Danio rerio: one gene and its partners. The main gene of each other region encodes a partner of the protein of the gene in region 6 in a complex. Links are inferred from orthologs where the notes say so. Each region holds a gene or a part of one and is shown on either strand. Other genes may lie near its edges. The genes, in order: lsm3, prpf8, usp39, lsm5, snrpd2, lsm4 and snrnp200.

Evidence for each region.
Region 1: lsm4 (region 6) and lsm3 share a complex: the UniProt entries of both Homo sapiens proteins name them as parts of the precatalytic spliceosome. The link is inferred for Danio rerio from reciprocal best matches to the Homo sapiens genes LSM4 and LSM3.
Region 2: lsm4 (region 6) and prpf8 share a complex: the UniProt entries of both Homo sapiens proteins name them as parts of the U4/U6-U5 tri-snRNP complex. The link is inferred for Danio rerio from reciprocal best matches to the Homo sapiens genes LSM4 and PRPF8.
Region 3: lsm4 (region 6) and usp39 share a complex: the UniProt entries of both Homo sapiens proteins name them as parts of the U4/U6-U5 tri-snRNP complex. The link is inferred for Danio rerio from reciprocal best matches to the Homo sapiens genes LSM4 and USP39.
Region 4: lsm4 (region 6) and lsm5 share a complex: the UniProt entries of both Homo sapiens proteins name them as parts of the precatalytic spliceosome. The link is inferred for Danio rerio from reciprocal best matches to the Homo sapiens genes LSM4 and LSM5.
Region 5: lsm4 (region 6) and snrpd2 share a complex: the UniProt entries of both Homo sapiens proteins name them as parts of the U4/U6-U5 tri-snRNP complex. The link is inferred for Danio rerio from reciprocal best matches to the Homo sapiens genes LSM4 and SNRPD2.
Region 7: lsm4 (region 6) and snrnp200 share a complex: the UniProt entries of both Homo sapiens proteins name them as parts of the U4/U6-U5 tri-snRNP complex. The link is inferred for Danio rerio from reciprocal best matches to the Homo sapiens genes LSM4 and SNRNP200.

What each region holds. Positions count from the first base shown.
Region 1 is NC_133197.1:33,571,855-33,576,795, reverse strand, and holds the start of lsm3 (U6 snRNA-associated Sm-like protein LSm3), read left to right. Parts: upstream 1-1,561; 5' UTR 1,562-1,624; coding exon 1,625-1,645; intron 1,646-1,838; coding exon 1,839-1,949; intron 1,950-4,941. UniProt on the Homo sapiens protein: Plays a role in pre-mRNA splicing as component of the U4/U6-U5 tri-snRNP complex that is involved in spliceosome assembly, and as component of the precatalytic spliceosome (spliceosome B complex).
Region 2 is NC_133190.1:30,754,284-30,759,240, reverse strand, and holds the end of prpf8 (pre-mRNA-processing-splicing factor 8), read left to right. Parts: intron 1-78; coding exon 79-270; intron 271-364; coding exon 365-602; intron 603-691; coding exon 692-820; intron 821-930; coding exon 931-1,044; intron 1,045-1,124; coding exon 1,125-1,298; intron 1,299-1,443; coding exon 1,444-1,637; intron 1,638-1,720; coding exon 1,721-1,960; intron 1,961-2,039; coding exon 2,040-2,181; intron 2,182-2,539; coding exon 2,540-2,680; intron 2,681-2,788; coding exon 2,789-2,928; intron 2,929-3,050; coding exon 3,051-3,253; intron 3,254-3,355; coding exon 3,356-3,510; 3' UTR 3,511-3,892; downstream 3,893-4,957. UniProt on the Homo sapiens protein: Plays a role in pre-mRNA splicing as core component of precatalytic, catalytic and postcatalytic spliceosomal complexes, both of the predominant U2-type spliceosome and the minor U12-type spliceosome.
Region 3 is NC_133180.1:74,850,277-74,854,269, reverse strand, and holds the start of usp39 (ubiquitin carboxyl-terminal hydrolase 39), read right to left. Parts: upstream 2,801-3,993; 5' UTR 2,726-2,800; coding exon 2,674-2,725; intron 584-2,673; coding exon 505-583; intron 1-504. Other genes in the region: si:ch211-283h6.4 (UPF0561 protein C2orf68 homolog), read left to right, coding at 3,154-3,263.
Region 4 is NC_133187.1:13,906,294-13,911,514, forward strand, and holds the start of lsm5 (U6 snRNA-associated Sm-like protein LSm5), read right to left. Parts: upstream 3,255-5,221; 5' UTR 3,173-3,254; coding exon 3,127-3,172; intron 2,365-3,126; coding exon 2,269-2,364; intron 1,028-2,268; coding exon 1,000-1,027; intron 338-999; coding exon 265-337; intron 1-264. UniProt on the Homo sapiens protein: Plays a role in pre-mRNA splicing as component of the U4/U6-U5 tri-snRNP complex that is involved in spliceosome assembly, and as component of the precatalytic spliceosome (spliceosome B complex).
Region 5 is NC_133193.1:43,800,938-43,804,770, forward strand, and holds the end of snrpd2 (small nuclear ribonucleoprotein Sm D2), read right to left. Parts: intron 1,378-3,833; coding exon 1,203-1,377; 3' UTR 920-1,202; downstream 1-919. UniProt on the Homo sapiens protein: Plays a role in pre-mRNA splicing as a core component of the spliceosomal U1, U2, U4 and U5 small nuclear ribonucleoproteins (snRNPs), the building blocks of the spliceosome.
Region 6 is NC_133186.1:6,962,351-6,966,273, forward strand, and holds part of lsm4 (U6 snRNA-associated Sm-like protein LSm4), read right to left. Parts: intron 3,546-3,923; coding exon 3,447-3,545; intron 3,286-3,446; coding exon 3,084-3,285; intron 1,229-3,083; coding exon 1,148-1,228; exon of another isoform or gene 1-1,147. UniProt on the Homo sapiens protein: Plays a role in pre-mRNA splicing as component of the U4/U6-U5 tri-snRNP complex that is involved in spliceosome assembly, and as component of the precatalytic spliceosome (spliceosome B complex).
Region 7 is NC_133183.1:33,113,519-33,118,002, forward strand, and holds part of snrnp200 (U5 small nuclear ribonucleoprotein 200 kDa helicase), read right to left. Parts: intron 3,850-4,484; coding exon 3,686-3,849; intron 3,591-3,685; coding exon 3,419-3,590; intron 2,889-3,418; coding exon 2,696-2,888; intron 2,610-2,695; coding exon 2,554-2,609; intron 2,472-2,553; coding exon 2,376-2,471; intron 1,671-2,375; coding exon 1,518-1,670; intron 1,430-1,517; coding exon 1,330-1,429; intron 1,212-1,329; coding exon 1,075-1,211; intron 964-1,074; coding exon 886-963; intron 763-885; coding exon 589-762; intron 30-588; coding exon 1-29. UniProt on the Homo sapiens protein: Catalyzes the ATP-dependent unwinding of U4/U6 RNA duplices, an essential step in the assembly of a catalytically active spliceosome. Plays a role in pre-mRNA splicing as a core component of precatalytic, catalytic and postcatalytic spliceosomal complexes.

The DNA of each region.
Region 1 (4,941 bases), on a different chromosome or scaffold from region 6:
GTGAGAATTGTATTGAAGTGTGCTCGAATTATTGCTAATTAATTAAACATGCATCTTAATGTATGTTACTTAAACCTGTATTATAAATACACCATATTGAAGCGGTTTAATTATTTCAAGCATTAAATTAAGCCATTGTTAGATTTATGAAAAATCAACTTTTCATTTAAAAATCAATAAAAGTCTGTCCTAAATTTAATATAAAAGGTTTCTGCATATTGTTTTATACTTTAGAAATAAAATGATGTCATCTGAGGTTACGAGGGAAAAAGCTGCAGTTTCCACATATATCCAGCAGGGGTCCTTATGCATCTATTCATTTCAGCTTTTACTTCTTGATGCTTTAGGACCCATCCCATGCTTGAATGTCTCAGTAGTCCTTCAGCGTTAGAAGGAATGGTAGGCTATAAAATATTTTCTCAGCTTACACAGTCGATCTACATAACTGAATAGCAACACAGGCACAGGTTACTGCATCTATTTTTTAATATATATATATATATATATATATATATATATATATATATATATATATATATATATATATATATATATATATATATATATATATTTAACTGACTGTCACACATTCTCAGCATTTGCTTTTAGTTGAATTTCAAGTGCAGCAAGCTAAACTTGTTATTTATTTCTTAAAGAAATATTATAATAATTTACTGTCATGTTGTGTGACATGCAAAAGAAAATATTTAGAAAATTTTAATATTCAGAAAGTTTTTGTTTCCAATTTTTATTTGTGCTCTAGACCCAGGCCTTTGCAGAAATGTTAAACTTTTTAAAATTTATAATGGGTTTAAAATTCATTTAAAAAAAATAATCTTAATTTTTTTTCCACTTTTCTCATTTTTTTTCAGTGTGGTCAGTTTGACCTCAAACACCATAAGTTTTTTTTTTCTTTTTTTTTTTTACACATATAAAGCAACCAAATCAAGTCCAGTTGTGACTGTTTTGTTAAAGGTTGGACTGATGTGACCCCAACATTGCCTAATTGATAAAGTTGCAATTTCATATGCAAAATTGCATATAAATAAACACCAAATAGCCTACTCTTGATAACAATGCAATCCAGATGATCAGCCTCACAACTTTCACTATACAACTAAATTGTCTAATTTTCCTTTGCAGGAAATGTGAGATGGGCTTTCCCAGATATGAAAATGCGGAATTTAAAGGAAGCAGGAGGAGATGTGTTTCAAATCTAACAGGGAGGGGGAATAGTACTTCCATACTCACAAACACAAGCTTTTTTCAGGAATGTCTGTGCGATCACTGATCCATCAATGTAGAAAAGGGATGAAAAATTATAATTTTCGTAATTTAAAAAAAATAAATAAATAAATAATTGCACAGTGACATCCGGGAAAACTCCCGATCATAGCCTATGTGTATATCTTTGGCTTTGGATGGTCACAGCTTGCATTCATTTCAAAGGAGCGGTTCCCTGTACTAACATGGTGGATCTATTGACGCATTCCTTCCAATAGACAACAACAGGGTAGGCGACATCTAACGTATATATCTATGTCTAACAGGAAGCAGATGCATTTTCCGTCTAATGATTTGTTCGCGAGAGAAACGGAAAATGCATTCTGGGTAGATTTGAAAGATGGCGGACGACGCTGAGCAGGTTTGCAATTTTTGCTTTGTATAAATATTTCGTTAGCTGTTTGATTATCGCGGAGGTTAATCGTATTAATTGTGTTTATTTTTAACTAGTTGAACACACGGGTAGCCTATGCTAAAGCAGCTTGTAACTACGACGATTGTTTGCATGGACATTTTCATTCAAATAAAATACATCACTGAAATTTACTTTACAGCAACAGACCACCAACACCGTAGAAGAGCCTCTGGATCTGATTCGGCTCAGTCTGGATGAGAGGATCTATGTAAAGATGAGGAATGACAGAGAACTGCGTGGCAGACTGCATGTGAGGGGAATACTACATTACATACTCTAAGTTAGTTATACTGCACGTGAGGGAAATGCCACATAATATACTGCATACGAGGGGAAAATACTACATTAAATACACGTTTCTACTGTACGTTATTGGAAAAAATACAACCTTAAGCATATTATATAACGTTATACTAAACCTGATTCAAAATACTACATTAACCATTATATAATGTTACATAAAGTTAGTTACATTGCACGTGCAAGAAAATACTAAGTTACATTGTGTATATATAAGTTACACTAATTATACTGCACGTGAGGGAACATACTACATTAAACATTATACAGTTATACTGCACGTGAGGGAAAATACTACATTAAACATATTATAGACTCTAGTTAATCTGCATGTGAGGGAAAATGCTGCATTAAACATTATTAAATTGCACTTGAGGTAAAGTACTTTTATAGATATATTGTTAGCCTTCACGTGAGGGAAAATTCTAAATTAAACATTAAATATTATAGTTAGACTGCATGTGCGGGAGAAATACTACTTTAGTATATACTCTAGTTCACTGGTTCCCAACCTTTTTTTGCCTGAGACCCCCTTTTTCCCTGGAAAATATTGTTAGGCCCCCCTCCACATTTAATGATATAATCGCTCATATAAGTTTGCACTAATAATGACAAAAAATATTGTTTCAAACAAAGCAAAGGTAGATCTCCAGGAACAGGATTGGCCACCCCTGCTCTAGTTAGACTGCGCTTGAGAGAAAAAACTAAATTAAACAGATTATACTCTAGTTATCCTGCACCTGAGGCAAACATTAGGCATATTATATTTATCATTATTATATTTATGTTCATTCATTCATTTTCTAGTCGGCTTAGTCCCTTTATTAATCCGGGGTCGCCACAGCGGAATGAACCGCCAACTTATCCAGCAAGTTTTTAGACAGCAGATGCATTTCCAGCCGCAACCCATCTCTGGGAATACTATTTATATATATATATATATATATATATATATATATATATATATATATATATATATATATATATATATATATACTAATTAAACTACAACTGCACATGAGGGAAAATACTTATATAAATATTATATACTCTAGTTATACTGCATGTGAGGGAAAATACTACATTGTAGTTATTATATACTCTATTTATACTGCACATGAGAGAAACTACCACATTGTACATATTATATACTCTAGTTCAGTGGTTCTCAAACTGTGGTACGTGTACCACTAGTGGTACGCAGGCTTCCTTCTAGTGGTACGTGGAGGAATAAAATATGTCATGTACATGCTACACACATTTCAAAATTGATAAAAATGATGTATATAATGTCATATGACATATAGCCTATATTTCTCATGTAATCTGCCACGTTTTTTTAACTGTGCAGAGTTGTAGCTGCTTTACTGGGCCTACAAGGCTATTGTATCTCAATACTGCTCATTTTGGTGGTACTTGGAGAGACAATTTTTTTCTGAGGTGGTACTTGATGAAAAACGTTTGAGAACCACTGCTCTAGTTATTCTGCCCTTGAGGGAAAATACTACATTTTATACAGACTCAAGTTCAATTATGTCTCTAAATGTATTATGTTCTGTTATTAAAGTCACATGAATTTGGTCTGTGGATTTTTTGGAGAAAATAAAGGATAAAAACATGTAAAAGTGAATTGATAAAATCTATTAAAATGTAATAATCAAATGTTTTATCCTAATAATTGACTACACGCATTAGTGTAGTATGTAAAGTGTTTAGTAAAAGAAAGGAAACATACAGAGGATTAAAATAATATTTATATTGTAATTGTATTTAGATCTAAAATACAAGTCTAAACTAATAGTCTACAGCAGTTCTAATGTGTTATTTTAACAGTACGTATGTATATATGAACAGTATATTGAAAAATCTGTTTGATTTTAATAACAAATCACAGAGATAAGGGATCAGAAAAATGTAAATGTTTTGTATTTTACAGAGGTAAATAAACTTATGGATGACCAAAAATGTACTGAATACAACTTCCTTTGTGTGAATTAAACAGCACAACCAAAAAGGATAAATGTTGACATAAATATACTTTTATTATTTTAATATTCATTTCTTTAAATATTTATTTTCTTTTATTTACCATATTTGCATTAACAGGGCTCGAAATTGCGACTATTTTGGTCGCATATGCGCCCGAAATTTTATCTATGCGACCTTAAAATATATTTGGGAGCATTTCTGCGAGAGCTTAAAATTGTTGTGTGCAACCAGTTTGTCTGCTCTTTGTCTGCAAAAATGCAGCGCTCGGGAATGGTTTAAAACAGTTATCATGTCAACTTGTTGCAGTAAACAAATCCAAGTCCGTAATGCTTGCCCTGCCTTTGCGCTCTTCTTATTGGCCCACCACTGCTCTAGCACTGAATGCGAATGATTGGTTAATATCAGCTGTTAATCACTCAGTCGCCTTCTGGCTTCGGACGACAGAGAGGGCTACTACCGCGAAAATTGTAAAGCGCTGAAGATGAGAAAGATAACCCTGACAGATTTTGTTTTAGAAACCATGGCATCTAAAGTTATAAATAATGACACATCATACTAGTGATCATGTGCTGAATGTTAATCCACCATCTACACTTTTCCAAGAGTGGAAGACTTCCATTGGCTTCAAGTCCACTATGAAAAGTCTGTGGGATGTAATTTTCAGGTAACTGTTTGCCACATCTAGCACGAGAGCTTCTGTTTAATCCTTCATATAATCGCCAGATGCTGTCCGCCGTGAAAGTGGCAGCTATATGTCAAATTGAACACCACGTACACCATCGCAAACGGGCTTACACTGAGTAAACCTTCATCGCTACTCCTAAAAAAAACGGTATTGCTATTAACATGTATGCATATAATAAGGTACAGTATATGTCAACAGCATCAGTGCAATATAAGACAGCACTTGTGAGAACAGCACAGTTAAACCGTTAACAGATTCATTCAAGCAG
Region 2 (4,957 bases), on a different chromosome or scaffold from region 6:
CATGGTGCCAGCCCATATACCCTCATGAAAGTGACATACTGATGCCCTGTTTTAAGATTCTTGCATTTCTTTCTACAGGGATGTAATGGACAGCACCACCACACAGAAATTCTGGATTGACATTCAGCTCAGATGGGGTGACTATGACTCTCATGACATTGAGAGATATGCCAGGGCCAAGTTCTTGGACTACACCACTGACAACATGAGTATTTACCCATCACCCACTGGAGTTCTGATTGCCATTGATCTGGCCTACAATCTTCACAGGTCAGATTTTTAGATCATGTGATTTGTCACATAATCAAGAACAATCTTTAAAAAAAAAAAACAGATGTTCAAGTATTTATTCTTTTCTCTGCAGTGCCTATGGAAACTGGTTTCCCGGAGCCAAGCCTCTGATCCAGCAGGCAATGGCAAAGATAATGAAGGCCAATCCGGCTCTGTATGTGTTAAGAGAGCGAATCCGCAAGGGTCTGCAACTCTACTCTTCAGAGCCCACTGAGCCTTACCTGTCCTCCCAGAACTATGGAGAGCTCTTCTCAAACCAGATCATCTGGTTTGTAGATGACACCAATGTGTACAGAGTCACCATCCACAAGGCAAGTCAACATTTTAAAGATGTTCCTTGTTGTTTTGATTGTTTTGACCTTGGGTTGTGTGGTAAAATGTCAATTTTATCCTGTTTCAGACCTTTGAAGGTAACTTGACCACCAAACCCATCAATGGAGCCATTTTCATCTTCAACCCCAGAACTGGACAGCTTTTCTTGAAGATCATTCACACTTCTGTATGGGCTGGACAAAAGCGTCTTGGACAGGTCTGTTTATCACTCGTATTTTGTTTACACAGTTGTTTTTTATTTTTTTATTATTATTTTTTTGTACTTTTTTTTACTTATCCGACTGGTTACTGGTTCTGCCTTTGTAGTTGGCTAAGTGGAAGACTGCTGAAGAAGTGGCTGCCCTGATCCGATCGCTGCCTGTTGAAGAGCAGCCCAAACAGATTATTGTGACCAGGAAGGGCATGTTGGATCCTCTTGAGGTTAGGCACTTAACCTTTAGCAACCAAAACGAGTGTTGAAGCTCTTAACTCTTAGGTTAACAACTATCTGTTTTCTCCAGGTGCACTTGCTGGACTTCCCCAACATTGTAATCAAAGGCTCTGAGCTCCAGCTCCCCTTCCAGGCCTGTTTGAAAGTGGAGAAGTTTGGAGACCTCATTCTGAAGGCCACAGAGCCTCAGATGGTCCTGTTCAATCTGTATGACGACTGGCTGAAGACCATCTCCTCTTACACTGTAAATCCAGCTTTTATTCTATAAACTTAATAAATATAAGCTATTCATTAAATTAAATAATCATTGAAGCAAAATTTTGTTGTTTCTGAGAGTTCCACCACTTATGCTACGATGTCTAAAACTAAAATCTGTTTTTGTTGCCTAGGCATTCTCTCGTTTGATTTTGATCCTGAGAGCGCTTCATGTCAACAATGATCGTGCCAAAGTTATTCTGAAACCTGACAAGACCACCATTACCGAGCCCCACCACATCTGGCCCACTCTGACGGATGAGGAGTGGATCAAAGTGGAGGTGCAGCTCAAAGATCTCATCCTGGCTGACTATGGCAAGAAGAACAAGTAAGAAATACAGATTTCCAAGTGCATTCAAAAATATATACTTTGGGATGTTCAAGATTGTAAATTCTCAATCTTCTCCACAGTGTGAATGTGGCATCTTTGACTCAGTCTGAAATCAGGGACATCATCCTGGGAATGGAAATCTCTGCTCCATCCCAGCAGAGACAGCAGATCGCTGAGATTGAGAAGCAGACCAAAGAGCAGTCTCAGCTTACGGCCACTCAGACTCGCACAGTCAACAAACACGGAGATGAGATCATCACCTCCACCACCAGCAACTACGAGACGCAGACCTTCTCTTCCAAAACTGAATGGAGAGTAAGGTACGGAAATGTTTCTTGTCTTTTTGGTCATTAAAGCACAGCTAAAGTTCGCTGTTAAACCGTTTTCTTCATCTCACAGGGCGATCTCTGCTGCAAACTTGCACTTGCGTACCAACCACATCTATGTGTCATCGGATGACATCAAAGAAACGGGCTACACTTACATCCTGCCCAAGAACGTTCTGAAGAAGTTCATCTGCATCTCAGATCTGCGTGCTCAGGTTAGATTAACAGTCTAATTAAAATGTCTTCTCTTATTTTTGCTTAGAATCATTTCAGGGCTGTCATGATATCAGATTTAAACAGTATATGATCTGTGGGAGTCTTGAAAAAATTTTATGAGTAAAACAAATTAGACTTGGAGGAGAAAGTTTCTTTAGTTCAAAGTATGGCAATTCATGAGACTAACACTATTTTAATATATAATTTTATGTGTAATATTGAAAAGCGTCTATTTCTGCATCATAACTTGATAATCTGCCTTTTTTTTTTTAAATAATTATTTGAAATTAAATAAAAAAATTGGTTTTCCACTACCTTTCTTGCATTATTTGTGCTTGTATATTTCCCCCCTTGCAGATTGCAGGTTACCTGTATGGAACCAGCCCTCCAGATAACCCTCAGGTGAAGGAGATCCGCTGTATTGTGATGGTGCCACAGTGGGGTACACATCAGACCGTTCACCTTCCCAACCAACTGCCACAACACGAGTACTTGAAGGTCAGGAATTTACACATGCACATTTGTTGTATTTGCACATCTAATTTGGTGTTATCAGCAGTCTGTGTCCTCCCAGCCTTTTCAAATGCTGCCCTTTTTCTTTTATAGGAAATGGAGCCTCTTGGATGGATCCATACACAGCCCAATGAATCGCCCCAGCTCTCTCCTCAGGATGTCACCACCCATGCAAAGGTCATGGCTGACAACCCATCCTGGGATGGCGAAAAGACTATCATTATCACTTGCAGGTATAGATTAAACACATTAACACAATGTGGCTGTGTTCCTAACTTCCAATTTATAATGTACTGCATTACATATAATATAGTATTGCATGTGAGACTTAAACCTATTGGTTTTGCTTGTCTAGCTTCACCCCTGGTTCCTGCACACTGACGGCCTACAAGCTGACTCCCAGTGGATATGAGTGGGGTCGACAAAACACAGATAAGGGTAATAACCCCAAAGGTTACTTGCCTTCACACTATGAAAGGGTTCAGATGCTTTTGTCTGACCGTTTCCTTGGCTTCTTCATGGTGCCTGGCCAAGTCTCCTGGAACTACAACTTCATGGGTGAGCATAGATTCATTTTTATGATATATATTGAAGTGATACACGTTTGTAAATTGCAGATACCACAGTGCACTTTTGCTAATTTCTCTTTTCTTGTTTTAGGTGTCCGCCATGATCCCAACATGAAGTATGACCTGCAGTTGGCCAATCCGAAAGAGTTCTACCATGAAGTCCACAGACCGTCTCACTTCCTCAATTTTGCTTCTCTGCAGGAGGGTGAAATCTACAATGCTGACCGTGAGGATATGTATGCATAAGTACAAACAGAGACTATTTAAAGTAAAAGCACCCACAGGCTAAAGCAATGCTTTGGTTCTGTTTTGTCCCTCTATACTGTTAGCAGTAATGTAAATGCTTGGAAACTCGAAGCATGTCATCTGTTTTTTGCTTTATCATTAATTGCTTGTCATTGACTTGATTATGCACAAGTCTGAAAGCACATTGTGCTTTGTCTGTTGTTGTGAGATGAATGACTTTTTTGTCTAAAAATATCTGTACCCTTTTTCGGAGTTGTTTGTAGTACATTGTGTTTTTTATAAATCCGGAATAATTTGTCTTTTCCCTGTAGCTATGTTGTGCATCTGTTATGTACACTGTAGTTTGGGTTTAAATAAAGATTACAACTTTTATAAGCTCTGGTTTGTTTCGTAGAGTAAATTATTGGTTTGTTTACTAAATTAACAGTAGCTTTATTATCTAAAGTGCAAGGACACTATGCTTTCAGAGGAAACCAATCTGCATGCATTTGTTACAGTACACTGAACAGCTCAGCACTCAACTTAATATGGCAAAATGTGTTAACATTTAAATGTAATATTAACTGATAAAATAACAGTACTCAAGTTTGGTGGAAAAAAATAATTTAAAGGGGTGGTCTACTGTGTATTTTTAAGGCTTGGTTGTGTTGTAAAAGATGCAAAGCAATGTGTGCTCATGCTTCATTTGTAGAAAGTCATGTTATTTTTTTATATCTTACTTTGATTATATACAGCAAGGCAGCTAACATGAAAATGACAGTCATATTTCCTAGTTCCTCTGAAAGGCCCGCCCTCAAAAGGCTCTGATCGGTCAGCTAACATGTGCTGTGATTTGCGGATCGGCTCGCATCATGCCCCTACAAGCCCACGCCTTGGTGCTGTGTAAACAGTAGCTGAATCGGACAGAAAATGAAGTACAGTGCACATCGATAAACATCACGCCTGCTCTCTAAAATAAAATCTCTCAAGCGTCTTTTACATATATTGGGAATAAGCATGTGTAAGTAATATAAACTTTTCACATTTCTTTTGCGAGTTTGTTATTTGAGATGTAAAACGCACGGAAAGCGTCTACATACTGTAGAGACACTGCAGCGCTAGTGAAGACTGGGTGTTTACAAGTGTTTGACTGATAAATATGAATTTGTAGCTAAATTGTTAGCGGTGCCAAACAGCATTTCCTGTTGTTTACATCCTCGCTACAGCATACCGTTAACACTAGAAACTGTGTATGTAATTAATCAATTTTAACTAATAAAAACAGGTTGTGGCTCACAATTCATCAATTGAAGGAGTTTTTAGCTGAATCCAGCTCTGAACTGAGACAGATTCTGGAAGTTCTCCTTTGTCAAATGTTAGCTCTCTCTCTCTCTCTCTCTCTCTCTCTCTCTCTCTCTCTCTCTATATATATATATATATATATATATATATTTTTTTTTTTTATTTT
Region 3 (3,993 bases), on a different chromosome or scaffold from region 6:
GTAGTGAAGCACATCTGCATAAAATGTAATTTCTGTGTTCAGCCAATGCTGAAACAATAATTGAGGTAAAGTTGATTTTATATTGGCACATTCTGACTTTCTCCCTTAATAACATCTTTTTAGAAAAGTATTATTTGCAAATTCTAAATAGGGAAATCATATTAGCAGCCAATGACTATCAAAGTACAGCATTGCTAACAGTCAATTAAATAGTGCTAATGTTGTTTTGAAGTCATACTTGAACACAATTTTAAACCTAATATTTAAATTAGCCTAGTAAACAATACAGGCTAATATACTATATATATATATATATATATATATATATATATATATATATATATATATATATATATATATATATATATATATATATATATATATATATATATAACAAACATGCCAATATAAGGAACTTTACCTCAATTTAATAATATATTGTGCAGCCCTACAAAGCACACAACAATAAAGCAATAAAGATATATACAAATCATAATAACAAACCTGTTGATTGTGTCGAGATATGGACAATGGCGGCTTCTGCGATCTTCAACATAACCACGACCCACTTTCACACGCACTTCTAAAATTAGCCAAAGACAAAATATAAGAATTCATAACAAATCACAGCTCTCAGTTGTCATGTGGTTCTCTGTTGGGTAAGATTTCTCAACCAACTTCCAACGATATCCATCGTCGTCGTAGGCGGTTGTTGTTAAATATCAATTTATTCATAAAAAATTAATTAATTGTAGCCTACCGTTTTAACTACCTGACCCACATAGTCTTTATAACAAAACCATAAATAAATAAAAGTTACACAAAAATTACCACCTGTCAATCACTTTTTTCCCGTGGGACTAGGCAGACATGAATAGGTAGAGTGATCTGTGCCGTTCTAATGGCTTTTTCCCCACCGCTGGTGGAGGAGACGAGAGTTTGTTTGGAGTTCAGTGTAATTTGTATTGTGATTGATGATAACTTCCTTATTTTATAATTTTTATGAAGAAATAATAACAAGTAAAGATGCTAGGGTTTGATCGTTTGGTCGCATATGCGTCCGAAATTTTATCTAAGCCACCTTAAAAATATTAGGAAGCATTTGTGCGAGTGCATAAATTTTCACTGTTTTCACAACAAAATCCTCACCGCATGCGCATATTTAGGAGACATTTATGCAGAATGCATCTTTGCACCTAAAATTGTGCATTTTTGTCAGTCTTGGGGCAGGACTTGGTTTACTTGATATCTCTCACGCTATTGGTTACACCCCCCCCCCCCCCCCCCCACCCCTCCCCCCCCGGATTAATAAAGTGACTATGTTGAAAAGAAAATGAATAATAATATATATATAGCAATAGTTATTAAGATTAAAGTATACCTTTTATTTAATTTTAAATAAATGAGGATATTATCCACGGCAACTTAGTAACACAGTTTGATATATTTACCTTCAGCTCACGGCCCTCAATCAAGTTTGGTTTTTGGCACTTCATAATAAAAAGGCACCCATGGTTTAGAGCTTGGCAATTACCACTTTCCAGAAGACAAAAAAATGTATCTATTTATCTATTATATCTACAGTATATTTATCTATTATATCTACAGTATATTTATCTATTATATATATAATGAAATAAAACTAATGTAGCTCTAGAAAACTTTAGGCAGAACTGGGACTTTAGTGCATCAGAGAAATGCCCTCATAGCTTTTTATAAAGAGAATTTTTTTTTTATAATTGAGCTGGTATTTACTCAAAAACATTGTTGGGTTACAGCTGCACCACTTTCGAAAATAGTAACAGAGGAATAATACAAAAGTTGCTGTTAATATTACTATTATTATTACTTATTCACACATTCATTCATTTTAACGGTCCTCATATCGTTTACTATGCTAGTTTAAATATTCAGTCTGAAATAATAATAATAATAATAATAATAATAAACAACATTTAAACCAGTTTTGTCTGACACATATATTGTATTTTAAAAGAAATAATCCTTAACGTGTCTATATATGAAAAATATTCATAGCAGTCATATTTAATACAAGTGCAGTGTCTGCTATCGTTTCAAATGACTTTTGTGTAAATTAAACATTCGGTTGTAGCATACCACTATAATTAAAAGAAATATAATTTCAGAAAAGTGGTTATTGTAAATTCTAAATAGGGAAATCATATAGCAACCAATGAATATCAAACTACACCATTGTTTACGGTTAATGAAACAGTGCAAATGTTGTTTTGAAGTCATACTTGCATGTTATTTCAGACCTAATATTCAAATTATCGTGGTAAACAATATAGGTAGCGTTAAAATGAACGAATGTGCAAAGATAAAGCCAACTTTACCTCAATAACAAACCTGTGTTTCATTTTGCATCTCCAGTAAACGTATCTTAAATGAAATAACTTAGGTTTAGATCTTTGACCTGGAAACCAAAATATTATTTATGCAAGACATTTATTTAAGATTTAATGCCACGACTTTCATTGTGTGGACCTTCTTACGTCTATTTGAGGGCTTTATTTTAAGAAAGAGAGCTTTGAAAAGCCAAAATCAACACTCAATTCAAAACAGACACGATAATCTGTGTATATCTGTGTCGTGTGCTACAAAAGCTAACGTTACCAAGTACTGCTAAGCTCATAAACACTCCAGGCATACCTTCCTCTTCATCTTCATCAAAATCCCTCTCCCGTTTCACGCCTCTGATCATATTTTAAGGTAAATAGCAACTATAAATCAAGTAAATTCAGCGCTGAATGAACGCACTGTGAACGCGTTACAAAACTCCCGCTTGCACTTCCGCTGTAGAAAAGGATGGCCGACAAGCACTAAACCCCTGGACCAAAACACAGCAGAATGCGTAAACAAACACCCAATGGTGTTATCTTGATTTTTCATTGCTTATCATATAACTATATACATAAAACTGGATATTTGTTTCAAAGAAGAGCCAAAAAAGTCGAGCTAAATTGTTTTGTGGATGGAAAACAAACCAACTCGAGTGTCGCTTTTTGTCGGACAACGCTTTTGAATCACCGACCCCCAGTGAGCAGCGGCGAGATGTTATAAAGAGAATGTTTGTAGATGTGCTAAAGATGAATTCATTTCAGGAATAATTACATTAAAAGAGCAGAAAGTATGGAGATCATCCGCGATGGGGAGGGGGAGAATGCTAAATATAAGCCCGGTGGTCGTTTGGACATGAGCCACGGTTTTCTGAGGCACATCAGGAGGAATCAGATCGCCAGGTTTCTGTCCACAACAACACTCACTAGTAGAGGAAAACACTTATAATTATAATAAATGAGCATTTTAGTGCTTTACAATGCGCCTTGAAATAGTCTTTTAACATGTCAACAAATGGTTCTAGTTCTAAATATACTTGACAATCATTTTTGGGCTGTTAAAACTGTTGTGAATGTCATTTTAGTGCGTGTTTTAGGTAAATCATGGTTAAAAATGCATGAAAGTCATTATTTGTTGTTCAGATAAATAAATAAAACTCAGCAGGACACATTCTAATGGATTTAATCGCAATTTGAAACACATTTTACTGAAATAAAAACTAAATGTCAATAATGAACAACATTTATAGTTGTTATTGAGGTAAAGTTGGTTTAATAAACGCACATTTGTTCATTTTAATAGCCCTTATATTGTTTACTTGGTAAATTTGAATATTGGTTCTTAAATAGCATCTAAATATGACTTCAAAACAACATTAGCACTATTTAATTGCTCGTAAACAATGTTGTACTTTCATATTCATTGGCTGCTAATATGATTTATCTATTTAGTATTTGCTGATAATACTTTTATAAAATTATATTAATAAGGAGAATGTGTCTTTTAATATGTGACCAAATGGTTCTTGGTCTAAATGTACCTGACAATCATTTTTGGGCATGTTAATGTCATTTTAGCTGGTGTCTTTTATAAAGCATGTAATCAAGTCATTATATGTTGTTCAGAATAAGA
Region 4 (5,221 bases), on a different chromosome or scaffold from region 6:
AATATGAGATTAAACTGGAATAGCAAAAAAGCTAATTATTAAAATGACAGAAGCAAACTTCTTTGTTTTTGTTTATAAAAATGTAAAATTGAAATAAGTTTACAAAATGCCAAAACAGAACACTTCTGACAACAGAAAATGTACATAAACTTGCATTAAAAATTACATTTTAAAATAATGAAAAAAAATTAAAATGACATTAAAGCAAATATTGTTTGCTGGTGCATGCATGAGATTACTTGCAGATGAACTTATTTGTCATACCATTGTGATGTTATTGCCATTAAGGAGAATCTGATCCAGTTTTGTGATTCTTCTTCCCTCTGGTGTGATTTCACTGTGATACAAACACACAAGCCCGAGATGAGGAAATATTTAATACCAAGTGTTCAAAAATGTAACCTACATCTATAAATTCTTGTGAAAATACTTCATAATCCAATTTTCCTTGCATCTTGAATACATGAGTGTACACTTCACATTCAAGTACACTTCACATTCAATTGATTTTTTTTTTTTTTTAATCAATGATAATACTTGGAATTATTCTTTAATAATAATGTCACAAAATATTAAACGGTTTCAATAGTGATAAAAATTTGCTAATACCATTGAACTTCTAACTAAGCATACTTTAAAAAAAGTTTCTAAAAAGATTAGAAAATGCCTTCTCTATGCAGTATAGTTTATAGAATAATTAGAATACAGTATAAATAGTCTAATGGTATAAAACTTGAGCTTTAGTTAATCTCTAGAACGAAAGTGCTTTTTTTATTGATAGTTTATCCTAATAAAACAAACACCTAAAATTTTGGAGACAGGATACTGATCGTTTGAAACTCGAACAGCATTTAGAACAATAGAAGGTTGAGTAAATGTTGACAATTAAAATTTTTGAGGGAACTATCCTTTAAGTCAAAGCAGAAGAGAATGCATGAATACACTGTGCAAAGACAATTAAGCAAATATTTAATATTTTTGTTTAGGAAATATACTTACAATTCTGTGACATCCTCTAGGACCATGTCTGATGTAAAGCATCAAGGAAATGTACAACATCGCAAAGATAACATTACATAGACATTTACATTTCTCTGTTGACAACATGTGATGTAGTGTATTGTATTTTTTTATTTAATGCCATGTCAGCAATGCAAGGCTATTTTCATGGCAAGAACATTTCAATAATAAATATACAATTAAAAAACAAAAACAAATGAATACATAAATTAAATACATCTTTAAATGCTAATACATTTTTTTATAATTTTTTTACTATTTTCCAGGTGTCATTTTGCTAAAAATGTCCTGAAGAGACATCATTTGATAAAAAAAAAAAAAAAGCCTTCTGGAATTGTTAAAAGCAGGACAATCCAGTAAAATCTGTTTTACTGTAAAAGAAAGTGTGATGTGCAAATATTGAGCAGGGTCTTCACATTTGAGCAAAAAAAAAAAGCATGGATCATTCTTGCATGTCCAATACAACATCTAGTAAAAATCACTAAATCAAATTTAGTCTTAAAATGACTAAAAATTCAGTTTGAGATTTCAGGTTGTATTTCATACAGTTTATTATTTCTCAATGCATCCTACTCCTCTTGCCACTTATTTAAAAAGTAAACGTTGATAAAAGATTTCATCTCTAAAAGAGGAATTTGGCATTCGTTCACAACTTATTTCAAAGCATCCTTAGCTGCTGGATCAAGCTCGCTCGTTTCCTGAAAGCCCAACATGTCCCGGAACCCAGCAAAAAAAAAAAAAAAAAAATATGAAAAAAAATGGTTTTGTAAATGGTGAACTTTAGTTATAATATCATTAATCAAAGGATGATCATTTTCTGAAGATTCCATCACTTGGAGGCATGATTTGGAGTCTGTAAATATGATAGAGTTCTTTTGTTGGACATTTTCTTATATTAAAATGCTAAAACTAAAGCACAGGCTAATGAACATTCTTTAGGCAGACTGATTCCACAACGTTGTTGTTCAGTAACCATTGCTGCCGTTATGCCATTTTCCACCCTGGAAGAGCAACCGCTGCGTAAAACATATGCTAAATAAGTTGGCGAGTCATTCCGCTGTGGCGACCCCAGATTAATAAACGGACTAAGGGAAATAAAGGGAAATCTTATGTGTAACTATATCTTTAGCTAGCAGTATTTATAAAAAAAAAAAAAAAAAAAAAGTTGAATCCAAAACTAAATTGTAAACATCACAAATATTTGACAGTGTTTTGTTTATTTTTTTACCGCCAGTAGGTAAAGGATACTGACAAAGTCGTCAAACCCAAGCAGAGTTCCCACAATCTCTTTATCGTTCTTCATAACGATGTGAATCCGAGAGCCAATGCACTTATCCACCAGCTCTGAAAGACAGCACACAATCCCCATCATAAACACAGTCACATCATTGGCTGTTAAAGGAAACATTTTGAGTGGTCAGTGTGATATACAACTGTAAAACCTTGTAAAGAAATTCAATTTATGTTAAACGTTACTTCAACAACTATACAGCCAAGGTAAGTTTTTAACGAACCACGTTTAATAAAATTTAAAATTTCTTTGGCTTTAACACTAGGTGTGGGATTGAGTAATATGTTAATACCAAATTCATTCTTTAAAGTACTAATTTTAGGCTTATTTGACTCAACAACAAAAAAATCCTGCGAGTAAAGAGTGGAGTGGCTTTTAATCATTTGACACGGTATCTCTAATGTCGTAACTCATACATAAAATTTTATTTTCAGAGTATCTTACTTATAAATACATCTTAATGGAAATTGTTAATGATAAATGTGTTCCCAAGTCATAATTACAATATTTTAAACTCCAACAGAGGGAAACATATTAGTGATTTATTTTTTTCGCCCACACTAACTAAATGAACTGGCTTCCGTTTATATATAATCAATCACACATTGATGTATAAATTTGTGAAATTAAATATTTAAGTTAAAATAAAAACACATTGACATGATTAGGGCCACATCTTTTGTGCACAGGTGTATTCAATTAGATAAAAAAGCAAAGTGAGTTACGAACGTGACTGATTGGCATCTCTGCCCCGTACAAAAACACAAAAGTTATGTCAGTAAATGATAAGCAATTTTAAAGAAAGTGAAACAAACCGAGTGGTAAAAGCTGCGAAGGATTCGTTGCTGTGATTGCCGCCATTTTGATAACAGACCTGAATAATCGGGACCGGAAGCCAATTACAAGCATGGATAATCGATATCAGCACACATCGATAGCATCTTCTTCTTCTTCTTCTTTCTGTTTTATGGCGACTAACAATTAAAAGCATTATCGCCACCTACTGTACCGAATCTTACTCCGATGAAAGGGCAACAAAAAGAAACGAGGAGGGAGGGAAAGGGGGGAAAAAAACACCTTGGATGTTTCATATTGTCCAATCTTTGCATCTAGACCACATACTCATGTCAGCACTGCGTGTTCAGCTCCTCTAACATAAAGGGCCTTTATGACAATGATTGAGAATACTCTCATCCATAAATATAAGACTATAATAACCTAAATCCGAATACTCTATATACCTAATAAACGCTCTATATACTTGCCAATCTATTATACCTTTTCCTAGAATAATTTTATATATTGTTTTATCTTCCCCACACTGACTGAATAACATATTGCGATGTTTATTATATTTGCTACATATAAATAGTGCATAATCCACATTTTCAGTTACACCACATACATCACATTTCCCATCCTCATGTAAACCCATTAACGCAAGTGTTGCATTTAACCCTGTGTGTCCCAATCTTAATCTTGATAACCACACCTCTTCCTTCCTATTTCTTCCTTGATTTAGTGTTGTCCCTACTGTCTGTATAATACTATAGTGCCATCTTCCAGTATTACTATTATCCCATCTAATTTGCCATTTATTTATTAGTTTTTCCTTTAAAATCGATTTTGCCTCTCTTTTCCCCAGAGGTACATTTACTTCCTCTTGCTTATTTAGTGCTTCCTTTGCTAATTTGTCAGCAACTTCATTACCAGATACCCCAATATGTGATGGAACCCAGCAGAAATAAACGACTACTCCTATTTCCTTTAATCTATATAAAGATAAATAGATTTCTGTTATTAAATCCTCTCTATCTGATTTTGAGTTTGCTATACTAACTAAGGCTGAAGATGAATCTGAACAGATTACTACTTTGTTTACATCGATAGCATGAGAGGGGCTTGGCTTTTTGTACAGCCTGTGGCTGTAACATTAGAGCAGTGTTACCCAAGTTTTTTCTTTTAAAGGGCATGTCAGTCAGTCAAAATGTTGCATCATATAGGCTACCAAACTGTATGTCACAGTAATTTGTCACGGTAATTTGGAGTTTTATAGCTTGATTATAGCTTGATTAATTTTTCCATCTCCCAGTATCTCCTCTCTGATGGAATGACGGACCAAATCGGAAACCAAAACACAGAACACAGTACACTTCCACAATAGGTTTCCATTTTTTGTAAAACTTGACAATACTGTAACTGTTCCACTTCCAGAGTAAAAAAAAATCATTATAGGCCTAAGGTTGTATTCAGACTTGAAACATCAATACCCAGGTAACAAGGAATTCTGGCCCAGATTTGGTATAAAGCTGGCATAGCCAATATGCAGCCTTTATGATGCAAGCTAAGATTGCATCAATCAGCGATACAGTGTCAGACACAATGCACTCAAATGGAGCAAGTGACGTCACTGTGATGGGTAGGGTTAGGGGTGGGGTTAGATGGGGCTATTAAAAAGTATTGTATGCAACTCAGATTGCACTGCACCAGGTCTGCACCCAGACCCTCTCGTCATAGCATTCATTTATTCAGCACTGGCATACAGCATGTAAGCCAAACAGGGGTCAGGTTTGCCAGGTAGCACTGCCTTTAAGGTGGCACGCATGACATGGTCCAGATGTCAAATGTAGAAGGCTATTTGGCCCAGATGTTAAATATTGATATATGGGCTACATGGTTTCTTGACCCACATTTGAAATACATAAAAAATTTAGCTGCATGGTGGAGCGGTGGGTAGCACAATCACCTCAAAGCCAGATGGTTACTGGTTCACAGCCCCGGCTGGGTCAGTTGGCATTTCTGTGTGGAAGTCCAAAAACATGTTGTATAGGGCTAGGTAAATTGGGTAAGCTAAATTGTCCGTAGTGTAGGTCTATGTGTGTGAATGAGTGTGGATGTTTCCCAGTGATG
Region 5 (3,833 bases), on a different chromosome or scaffold from region 6:
AATGCACATTTAAGAGGAAAATTTCTGATGGTGCTTAAAGGTTTCTGCATCTCAACACATTTAATAATACAATAATAATTTTATAATAACATTTTATTTTTAAATATTTTAGACATTTCTTGGCAAAATATTTTAAACATTGTATAAAAACAAGCAAGCAAAATACACTCTCTTTAAACAACTGATCAAATGTTAATAAACTAAATCTATACACAATCTGTCCAAGTTGGTGTCAGCAGTAAATATATGGAGCACTTTTAAACAAATGTTTTTGTAAGGAAAATAATTAAATCATTATGATAAAACAGAGTTAAAAATGACCCTTTTAAATAAAAAGGTTAAAGTTTGGTATTGAGATTAGGATTGTTGCTGTTGCTGATGTGCAATAATGGCCAGATTGGGAAGCACAACATCAGGGTTTCTGCAGGTTTCTTCAAATCAAGTGCAAGACTTTAAGACTCTTAAGACCATGAGTGAAATTTTAGACTTATACAGGGCTAAATATTAAAGTTTTTTTTCTGATGGGTCGGTTACTTCTATAAATAATTTGTATAATGCTGGAAGATCATGTAAAGGGATTCATACAGTAAAAATGTCAGGCTAAATAAATAATGAAAATGAATCATTGACTTCTGCTGTTTTCATTAGTTTCAAAAGCACAGATTTCTTTACAATTTAAAATGACATCTTTGAATATTTTTCCAGCTGGAGATAATGTTGTCCTAAAAAAAAAAAAAAAAAAAAAAAAAAGGAAATAAACTATTTACTATATTATCCTACATACACCCTAGACACAAATGAAAAGATAATGATGACGGTTTTAATACCTTGACTTTTCCGAACAGCAGTATACCTTGAAAACGGTTATCGTTCCATGCCTACATCCTAGAGTCATACAATAGATTGAATAGATCAAGACTTGAATATCCAAAAATTTATTTAGAAAACAAATCACAAATGACAAAACAATAACAACAACAAAATTAACTCCAACATCTTTATCATTTTGTTGACCAGACAATCTCTCCAGATGATGTTAAACGTTTTCCAGCTAAACATTATTGTTTCAGCTCAAGGCATTCTGTGTATGAAGTAATAATTAATTAGCTGAAAAGCCTAATTAGCACTTTTAACACAGTTGTGTGAGTGAGTGTGTGTCCAGGAGACAGCCTGTACTTGAACAGTCGTGTTACACGTCAGCTTTATTTCCCTGTGATGAGTGGGTTCCTCAGCACCACGATGACCGAGTCGCCTCTCAGGAACATCTTGGAGATGTAGCGATCTTTGTTCACTGGCTTTGACTTCTTCTTGCCTTTGCCGCTCTTGGGCACCTCTGTCCACATTTCTTTCACATTCTCCAGAACCATATTACAATGCCTGAGAACACGAGAGAAAACAGACAACAACTTGACATGCAGCCATGTAGATGACTCACTCCAACTAAAATAATGAGTGGTGCGGACCTGAAATAACACCATCAACATGAGATATGCGCTGGAGGATGAGACTGAAACAAAATTGTTAATAAGATTTCTTTAAGACTTTTGTGAAGTGTTAGAAATGGTGAAGTATTGGGTGGGATTTAAATATATCCCCTTATACCTTAAACTGGACATCTTATGTAAATGCTTATGATGCTTATTAAGAACATGTCAAATGTATTACAATAGAGAGAGCATACTGTGTTATGAAAAAAATTGTTTATATATAGTTTATATACTATATAGTAATAGTTTATATATTATATAGTAACAGTTAATATTATGTTTATATATTATATGTTATATAGTAATAGTTTATACTATATAGTAATAGTTAATATTATGTTTATATATTATCTTATATATTAATAGTTTATATATTATATAGTAACAGTTATTATTATGTTTATATATTATGTTATATAGTAATAGTTTATATATTATATAGTAACAGTTATTATTATGTTTATATATTATATGTTATATAGTAATAGTTTATTTATTATATAGTAACAGTTAATATTATATTTATATATTATATGTTATATAGTAATAGTTTATATATTATATAGTAACAGTTAATATTATGTTTATATATTATATATGTTATATAGTAATAGTTTATTTATTATATAGTAACAGTTAATATAATGTTTATATATTATATATGTTATATAGTAATAGTTTATATACTATATAATAATAGTTAATATTATGTTTATATATTATCTTATATATTAATAGTTTATATATTATATAGTAACAGTTATTATGTTTATATATTATATGTTATATAGTAATAGTTTATATATTATATAGTAACAGTTATTATGTTTATATATTATATGTTATATAGTAATAGTTTATTTATTATATAGTAACAGTTAATATTATATTTATATATTATATGTTATATAGTAATAGTTTATATATTATATAGTAACAGTTAATATTATGTTTATATATTACATATGTTATATAGTAATAGTTTATTTATTATATAGTAACAGTTAATATAATGTTTATATATTATATATGTTATATAGTAATAGTTTATATACTATATAATTATAGTTCATATTATGTTTATATATTATCTTATATAGTAATAGTTTATATATTATATAGTAACAGTTAATTTTATGTTTATATATTATATATGTTATATAGTAATAGTTTATATACTATATAATAATAGTTAATATTATGTTTATATATTATATATGTTATATAGTAATAGTTTATATACTATATAATAATAGTTAATATTATGTTTATATATTATATATGTTATATAGTAATAGTTTATTTATTATATAGTAACAGTTAATATAATGTTTATATATTATATATGTTATATAGTAATAGTTTATATACTATTAAGTAATAGTTAATAATTATGTTTATATTAGACTTGGGCGGTAATACAGTAATATAGTATACCGCAGGATCTAAAAATAGCCACGGTGTCAGTTTCAGTACCGTTATACCGTCATAAAAAACATTGAATTTAAATAGTAGACAAGTATTCAATATTAAATATCCTTTATTTATTGCCTACAAATAAGTATGCGTGATTGTCATCACGGGACAGTGTGGAGGAGAGAGAGGGAGGGAGAGTTGAGGTGGCGAGTCGCGCACTAAGTGACCTGCAGTTTGGCAGTATTTCCGGATTCGACCGAACAAGAAGGAAGACGTGGTAAATATGAACTAGAGGTCTGCATTCCTGCTGCTGTACCGCGGGGGACAACCCGATTTCTTGTTGTGCAGGAATACATTTCCGAATATGCAATCTGCGTGTGTCACTTGGTGCTCTCTCTCGGTGTGTGTTTGTGTGTGTGTGAATGAGAGAGAGAGAGAGAGAGAGAGAGAGAGAGAGAGAGAAAGAGAGTTGCTGGGTGTTGCTTGGTTCTCTCTCTTCTTTTTCTCTCTATCTCTGTGTGTGTGTGTGTGTGTGTGTTTGAAGAAAGAGCGTCCTACGCAGAAGAATACAAACAAGACAAACAGGTGACCGCAAACCTAAGGTCGCATATACGGTATCAGTTTCTGAATGGTTTAGGCACAATTTGGTGACGCTGTCTGAGCCTTACGTCGTAATTTTGTTTATTATGCTTGGTAATACCGGATACCTGGTTAAAATAGGGAGGAGATTTGACGGTATACCGCCGGTTGGATACCGCCCAAGCCTAGTTTATATATTATATATCTTATATATTCATGGTTTATATATTATATAGGAAAAGTTAATAATATGTTTATATATTAAATATCTTATATTAAAAGTTCATATATTATATTGTAATAGTTTATATATTATATAGTAATAGTTTAGATATTATATAGTAATAATTT
Region 6 (3,923 bases):
GACGACCTACAAATCTGACTCAGTTACACCAATTCTGTCAGGAGGAATGGCCAATTCTTTCAAACTACTGAGAGAAGCTTGTGGAAGGATACACAAAACATTTGCCCAGATTATACAGTTTGAAATCAAAGCTAAAAAGAAATACCAAGGAAATGTGTGTAAACTTTTGACTGTCTAGAAAGTAAAATAAAAATTCTCAAAAAAAAAAAATTCTTTCATTATTCAGGCATTAAGCAAACGTAAATCATTTAGGTAATCCTAACGAACCTAAAATAGTAAACTAGTATGATTTTACACTAGACATTTAAAAAATGGTTTTGTTCCTTTTTTTTTTTTTTAGAGTGTATGTACACTTCAACTGTATAGCCACAGGCATATCAGCCTGCAGCCCAAGGCCGGTTACTCACTGAAACTAAGCAGAGCTGAGCCTGGTCAGTAATTGGATGGGAGACCTCATGGGAAAACTAGGTTACTGTTGTAGTTGTGTTAGTGTGATCAGCAGTGGGCGCTTAACCTGTGGTCTGTGTGTGTCCTAATGCCCCAGTATAGTGAAGGGAATACTATACTGTCAGTGGGCGCCGTCTTTCGGATGAGACATTCTCTGACTCTCTGTAGTGATTAAAAATCCCATGGCACTTCTTGTAAGGAGAAGAGGTGTAACCCTGATGTCCTAGCCAATTTCCCTCCATTGGCCTTTACCTATCATAGGCTCCCAAAAATCCCCATCTACCGAATTGGCTCTATCACTGTCTCTCCACTCCACTCCACCAATAGCTAGTGTGTGGTGAGCACACTGGCACCGTTGTCCTGTGGCTGCCGTCGCATCATCCAAGTAGATGCTGCACACTGGTGGTGGAGTGGAAAGACCCCCTTTAAGACTGTGAAGTGCTTTGGTTGCATGGCTATTCGCGATAAATGTGCTACATAAATACACATAACATTACGTCGCACGATAACATTGTCCACTTTTCTGTCTATGGAGGACGAGGGCGCTCTCAGATTTAGGATTTAGATTTTGGGTTCTGAAGATGAACAAATGTCTCATGTTTAAGGAAATGAGGGAGAGTAATTAAACACAGAATTGTCATTTTTAGGAGCCCATAATAAAAGGAGGATCTGTTTTATATCTACTGTTAGTTTATGACACCTTGTTGTTTTCCAGGCTTTTTGTCTTGTTGCTGTCCACGGCCAGATCCCTGCATGCCTCTGCCACGGCCACCAAAAACACCTGTCAAATAGAATGGGAATTTCTTTTTTTAATCTGTGTGTGTGTGTGTGTGTGTGTGTGTGTGTGTGTGTGTGTGCGCGCGTGTGTGTGTGTGCGTGTGTGGAGAGTTAAAATTGTCAGGGCAAGTGGAAAAAACTTTAAAGGGTCACGAAACACCAAAACACATTTTTTGAGCTGTTGACAGTGGTATATGTGTCCCACACTGCTAAAAACACTATTAGGACACCTATATTTCACTAAAAAATGTAAATTGGTTGTTTTTGCGTTATTTCAAGCAAATTCGTACTTCCTGTTTGAAACGAATTTTTGAAGCTGCGTCACGGCCATGACATAATAGCGTGTATTCCAGCGTGCAGACTGGGCGTCTGTGATAGAGTGTGTCTTATTACGTCTTACAGTGTGATGCATTAATGCATGAGCAAAGCTTGGTTCAAACCAATCAGCGCGCCCTATTGTGCAACTTCATTAATATTCATTACTATCACAGTGTTTTCAGGACAGAGACGCCACGTTGTGTTGGCAAAACAAGCGTGAAGTGTTTCTTTTATAGTTTGCTGCCATTAAGTTTCGTTTTCCTTTTCTCTCCCCTTAGTGTACGCAACGCTTGACAACAATAACTTACGTGTCTAAGGCGGATTATTGTTTACCTGAGAGCTGTTCTCATCTGCAAATGCTGAAATCCGGATTCGCTTGTAACGTTAGTATTCTCTTCATAATGACGCGGCTCTAGTTGCTGGTGATTGTCCTGTCTCTACAGATTTGGTAAGTGAGCGACCAGTGCTCTTTGTTTATTCAGTTTGTTCGTATCGAATTAAGTTAACTATTGCACTGAGTGCAAACATAGCACCGCATTTTGTGACCGGAATAACACACGTGGCTTTCTGACGCTACCTGCCGTGTGTATCTAAGTTTCTGGGAAATGCGGAGGGTTTTTTTCTCTCATTCGTCGTGCGGTATCAAACGTTGCATGAAAAATACACGCTTACAGCAGTTCCTCGAATCAAATATCACGTTTGTCGCGAGGGGCATGAATGAATTCCCTGAATGAAAGAGCCAAACTGCAGTTAAAGTCACCCATTTAATAATTTGGCAAATAATTCGACTACAGATGTCCATGTAGGTTAAACACCATCACTTTCTCATGTGTGTGTATTTTGACTGAAACTCGCGCGTGCCCAAATAGACACTCCCACACCATCCCACTTTAGTTCCTCCGACACTCCCCCCTAAACAGAGCTGGACACGCCCACTTTTCTGGCTTTTTCCAAAGTAGAGGTGAGAAAACCCTGCTGAAACGAGGTGGTTTCATGGCCCTTTAAGCCCAAAACTGCGTGTACACATTTAAAAAAATATACCAATGAGAGTAAAACTGTCAGCCCTCCTGTGAATTATTTATCCTTTTTCAAAGATTTCTCAAGTGACATTTAATGAAGCAAATCAATTTTCACAGTATGTCTGATAATATTTTTTTCTAGAGAAAGTCTGTTTTATTTCAGCTAGAATGAAAGCAGTTTTTTACCATTTTATTTTCATTATTTATTATCATATTATTAGCCCCCTTAAGCAATTAATTACCATTAATTACCCTAATCTGCCTAGTTCACCTAATCAAGCCTTTAAATGGCAGTTTAAGCTGATCACTAGCATCCTGAAAAAGATCTAATCAAATAATATTTACTGTCATCATGGCAAAGATAAAAGAAATGAGTTATTAGAAATGAGTTATTAAAACTATTGTTTAGAAATGTCCTGAAAAAAATCTCTCAGTAAACAGAACTTGGGGGAAAAGGAGGGCTATATATGTCTGGAATGATTATATGATATGATCTATTGTATGAATATAAAAGCATCAGACCTCTGCCAGGTCCGCCACCTCTTCCAGGTCCACCTCCTCTGCCCTTTCCTTGTGGCTTATTCTGCTGCATGCCACCCCGGCCACGGCCCTTTGACACCACTTCCTCTTTCACCATATCTATAATTTCATCAGGGATTCGCAAGTATTTAATGGTGCTTCCTCTTATGTAGCATTCTGGCATCCTCCAAAACTTATCTCCATCCTGCAAATCAGAGCAAGCAGAAAAAACAGCCGTCACATTTCAGCAAGACAAATAAATAACCTGCAGATTTGTTTAAATAAAACAAACAAGTGTTTTGCTTAATTTTGTAAGGAATCAATAGTCTCCCAAAGACGTTTTCATCTGAATGAAGTCGTATTTACCCGTGAAGTGCAAATAACTTCTCTCAAGTTTATATTCATCCAGTTGTCGCAGCTGACCAGATGGCCGTTGTATGTCTCGCCATTCTTTAACTCAACCAGCTGAAAAGAAAAGCAGATTAACTTAAAAGCTCAATTATTGTTCAGCACTTCATTTTAGGGCTGTGCAATTAATCGAAAATTCGATTTCGGCTTCTAACGATTATAAAAAAACATTAATCGAGATAAACGATTATTCCATTATTTACCGCCCCCGTCCAATTGTCCTCACTTGTTGCTCTTAAAAGCGCGAAAGACCACATGCTTGTGTGTGTGCGCCGCACAGACACAGTCAGAAGCATGCGGTCAGCAGTTGGTCTTATTCGCACATTGCGACGAGCAGAGAGCACACACATCTAAAGTCATTAACGTGAGCGCTTTAATGTTCAAACAGGTGTCAAAACGCAGTATTTAGTGATTATTCATATTAACCCTCATTTG
Region 7 (4,484 bases), on a different chromosome or scaffold from region 6:
TTGGGCAGTTTCTCAATACCCACCAATGTCTTTGAAAGAAATAAGAGAAAAGTGAAATACTGGCCAATCAACCAGCAATTTAAACTCTGTTGTATACACTTCTGTTCAAAATGGCCAATAACATTTTTTTTAATGGAAAAAAAAATGTATATAGCAAGACAGCATTAACATGATCAAAATTGACAGCAAAGATGTTACAAAGTATTTCTGTTTCAAATCAATAGTGTTCACTTAAGCATAGTGATTAGAGAACAGCGAAAATAAATCTTTCTTGCGACACAAACAAACCACATCCATTTTGTTATATGGATATTCACCATATTAGAAAGATTTCTGAAAGATCATGCAATACTAAACAATGGAGCATTTGCTCTGGAAATTACATTTTGCCATCACAGGAATAACAATTAAATGCTAAAATATGAATACAGTTTTAGATAGCAATGTTTCCACAAGATTTCAGTATGATCTTTGATAGCTTTTGAAAGCTTAATAGCTTTTTTGTTTTACTTAGCCAACTTGATGTGGCAATAAATTAACCAAAAATCCCTATCCCTAATAAGAAAAGAAAAACTAGCAGATAAATACCTCTTCATCACCAAAGGGTTTGGGTTTGAGTGCAGGCACATGAACCTCCTCATAGCCCTTTCTCTGTTTGCGGAAGGAGCCGTCAGGCAGCTGGCAGCGCTTGTTGGCCATGAAGTGACTACCTTGAGTGAAGGTCAGATCTTCCAGGTCTAATAGCTGCCTTGAGGACACAGACTAAAGACAAAAAACACAGAACAATAAAGTGTCACAATGCACATTAGGAGTGGTTATCAAACTGAGAAAAATTACATTTAACTCTAATTTTAAGAGGTGGACACAGCATTAAGTGGGATCTACCTCGCCATGATCAATGTCCATAGACTCCAGATCATCCACACGAGATTTTCTCATTCTCTCCCTGCGAGATCTCTCCTCCTGCAAGAAAACACAACATCATAAATTTACAGACAGACATTTGTCTTTAAATGATTAAAATCTCAAACAGTCCAACACTAATGTGAATAAAACCAGAGGGCAATTCCTGACCCTGATGATGTCCTCTTTTTCAGTCTCTTGCAGCTGGTAGAGAACTTTGGAAAGATCCTGATCGGCCTCCATTTTATTAATGATCTTCTCCTTCTCTGCTTCACTTTGAGCACTGGCCAGCATGGTGCAGTACAGGACTAAATATGACAAAAAAGCAACATTAAAAAAAAAGCAGTATATCTTTTTAACATTAAGTCACATTGGCGAAACATTCTCAAAAATTCCAATCCATTTAATCCAACACAATCTACTTACTCATCCGCCTGTGCTGGCGCAGGACCTTGATGAAGTCGAATGTGTTGAAGCCTAAAAGCAGCACCAACTGGTTCTCACACTCTCTGTCATCACTGGCAGTCTAACAAAAAAAGTTTTCATTCAGCAACTCAAAAACAAAACAAATACAAACAAATCCCTTAGTCTCTAAGGACATGAACATTCTCTACCTTAAGGATCTCCAAGACCTCGTCTGCTTTTTTCTGGGACACGATGGCATCGTTGTAGAAGCGGCTGAGCTGTCGCTGAAGCCAGAAGGCATCGATGTCTCGAGGGTGAAGATCCTTCTTTTTGGTCATCATTACATCTCCTGTGTTTCCCAGCTATGGAGAAAGAAAATGATAAGCTGGTTCTTGTACTTTATATCAGTGATCTGTAAACCCTATAATTATTATTTATTATTATTATTATGTACTTATTTATGATCCAGGTGTAGTTTTTTCATTGATTATTTCTAAAGCCTGGTTTCCAGGATAAGGCCCTAGTTTATATTTGGCATACAAGTAATTTTTTATAAAAGTCCTTTAAAAAATCTTGAAACAAAACAGACGATATATTTTAAGACCTGTCAGTGCAAACTTCCTCAAGTTAAAACAGCTCAAACTTCTAGGCCTAAGATTAAACTGAGGGTTGGTGACAATGTATTTTTGGTTAATTGTAGCCTTTGTAATATTTTGTGGCTGTTATTGCTTTTTGTGTGTTTCCATTATCTAATCTGTAATAAAGTTGGATTAATTGCAGGCATTTGGGTAATTATATTTAATTGTGAATTTGCAACTGTAACAGTTTATTATAGTGTTTATTATCTATAAACAATTCATTAAAATTATTGACTATTTGAAGCAGTATTACAAAGGTAGCTTACATAAAATGTTAAAATAACATTAAAATCTAACTTTTAAATAAATAAATAAATAAATATGACAATTTAGTCATTAATAATAATATAAAATTGTGGGACCCAGTGACCTGCTTGAAAGTCACTGCTTTATTATAACATGCAGAAACACGTGGAGCATGTGACTTACATTTGCAGTCAGTGTGCTGCTTTCATCTGCCTCTTCTCCCTCACTGTCATCAGAGCCTTCATCCCGAACCTCTCCATACTGGTCCTCATCACCCTCCTGCAGATGAACCAACAGCACAATGACGTCACTTAAAGAGCAAAAAACACATTATCATAATTCAACCAAAGCCAAAGCTCACCTCCTCATCGGACTCAAACTGCACATTGACTCCATAGGTTTCATCAATGTTGTCATCTGCAAAAAGACAGACAGTAAAGCACAATCTACCTGGACATCAAGTTGAGGAGAGCTTGGACACCAAAAAAATTAAAATAAAATACCCATATTCTGTAGCTCTTTGTCTCCTCCATAGTCAGAGATCTTCTTTCCCAGGTTGACCAGGACATGGTAACGTGTGTCATCTGTAGGCCCCAACAGCTGCTCCACCTCCCTCCTCCTCTCTTTGTCTCTCATCTTGTCATTTTTCAGCACAGCCAACACCTCGTCTGCTGCTCCACACAGGATATCCCTTGGCTTAGATTTTAAAAAATATATATGTAGTTTATATTGTGATATTTTAAAAAAATTCTATCAATTTCTTACATTCATAACATACAAAATTAGCCCAAATTTCTAATAAAGCATTGTCATTTTACACTTAATGGATTGTTAAAAATAGAGATTCATAAAGAGATTAACTTTTGCTTTATCAACATGTAATTTTGCAATTACACAAACATACAAAGGTCAGCACAATTTTTTTGATAGATTTCTGGATGTTTTGAAACAGTTTCTTTAATCCATGTTCATTGATTTGAACAAAAATAAACACAAATATTTAAAAAAATGTAATTAATAAAAAAAAAGATTCAAATTAATCAACATTTATACTTTATATAAATATATACTTTAAATATAGATTTTTAAAATATAAATCTGTCACCAATAACAAAAAAGCAGTCATCAACCAGAATTTTTATAACAGCGCATCCCTAGCAAAATCTACAGTAGTTCCATTAAAATTTCATATTCATAGCACATATGAACAAGGACACTGTTCCTACCTGATCTCCAAGAGCGGCCTGAATGAAGCTGAGCAGGATTTCATATGTTTCTCTGGTCTCTTTGGTTTTAGGTTTGTACACAATGCCCACCATCTCATCAATGCCCTCAGACAACAGTGTGAAGCCCTTCATCTTGTTGATGTCATGTCTGTCCTCGTCTCTCTTTCTCCTCCTGCATCACACAATGCACCACATTTGTTTAGTAAATCCTTGACTCATTTGAGACATTTTTACCAGCAAACTTGATGCATTTGTGATCAGACTGACTTTGCTCTCCTCTCCTCCAGCATCTGAGGTTTGGTTCTCTGGCTTCTGTCTCCCATTTTGGTCCCCTCCAGTTTTCCGACCAGAGACAGCACCTCTCCGGTGGGCTCATCTCTGCGTGTTCGGTCGATCAGAGATCTGTCTGCTTGCAACACCAAGTTAGAGTTCTGTGGAAGAAACACAAACACTCACAATCAGTTTGATGGTAAGTTTGAGTCTCAAGCTCAAACTGGCTATATGCATAATAAGTGCGTGATGCTATAAATCTATCTTGTTGCCATGATTGTTGAAGCTTTTATAAGAATATGTGATGTTTTCAAAAAGATTAATTCAACAGGTATAATAACAAAAAAGTAAATTGCAGATTAAATTGCACAAGGATTATGAAGTACAATAAATAACACTTTGCAACAATAAACATTACTAATACATTAACTAATATTGAAAGTGAGAAATAGCTACATTAAAAAAGTAATGCAGTTAATGTTAGTTATTAACAAGTTATTAAACATTAACAAGGAAGTTGACATTTGCCAAGACAAATAAACGGTTTACATGTAGTTTTCATTCATCAATTAAGTTTAATTAACTAATGTTAACAAATGAAGCTTCACTGTAAGGTGCTAACATACAAGTACATAAAGAATATAACTATTTTCAATGAACATCTGACATGTTATAACATTACGCTGTTACACATTACATTATAATGCCAACATGCATTATAGATGTTATTTATGACAATATATTGTATATACCATATTGTATGAATATCAGCATGTCTAATCCTTATCGTTATGCT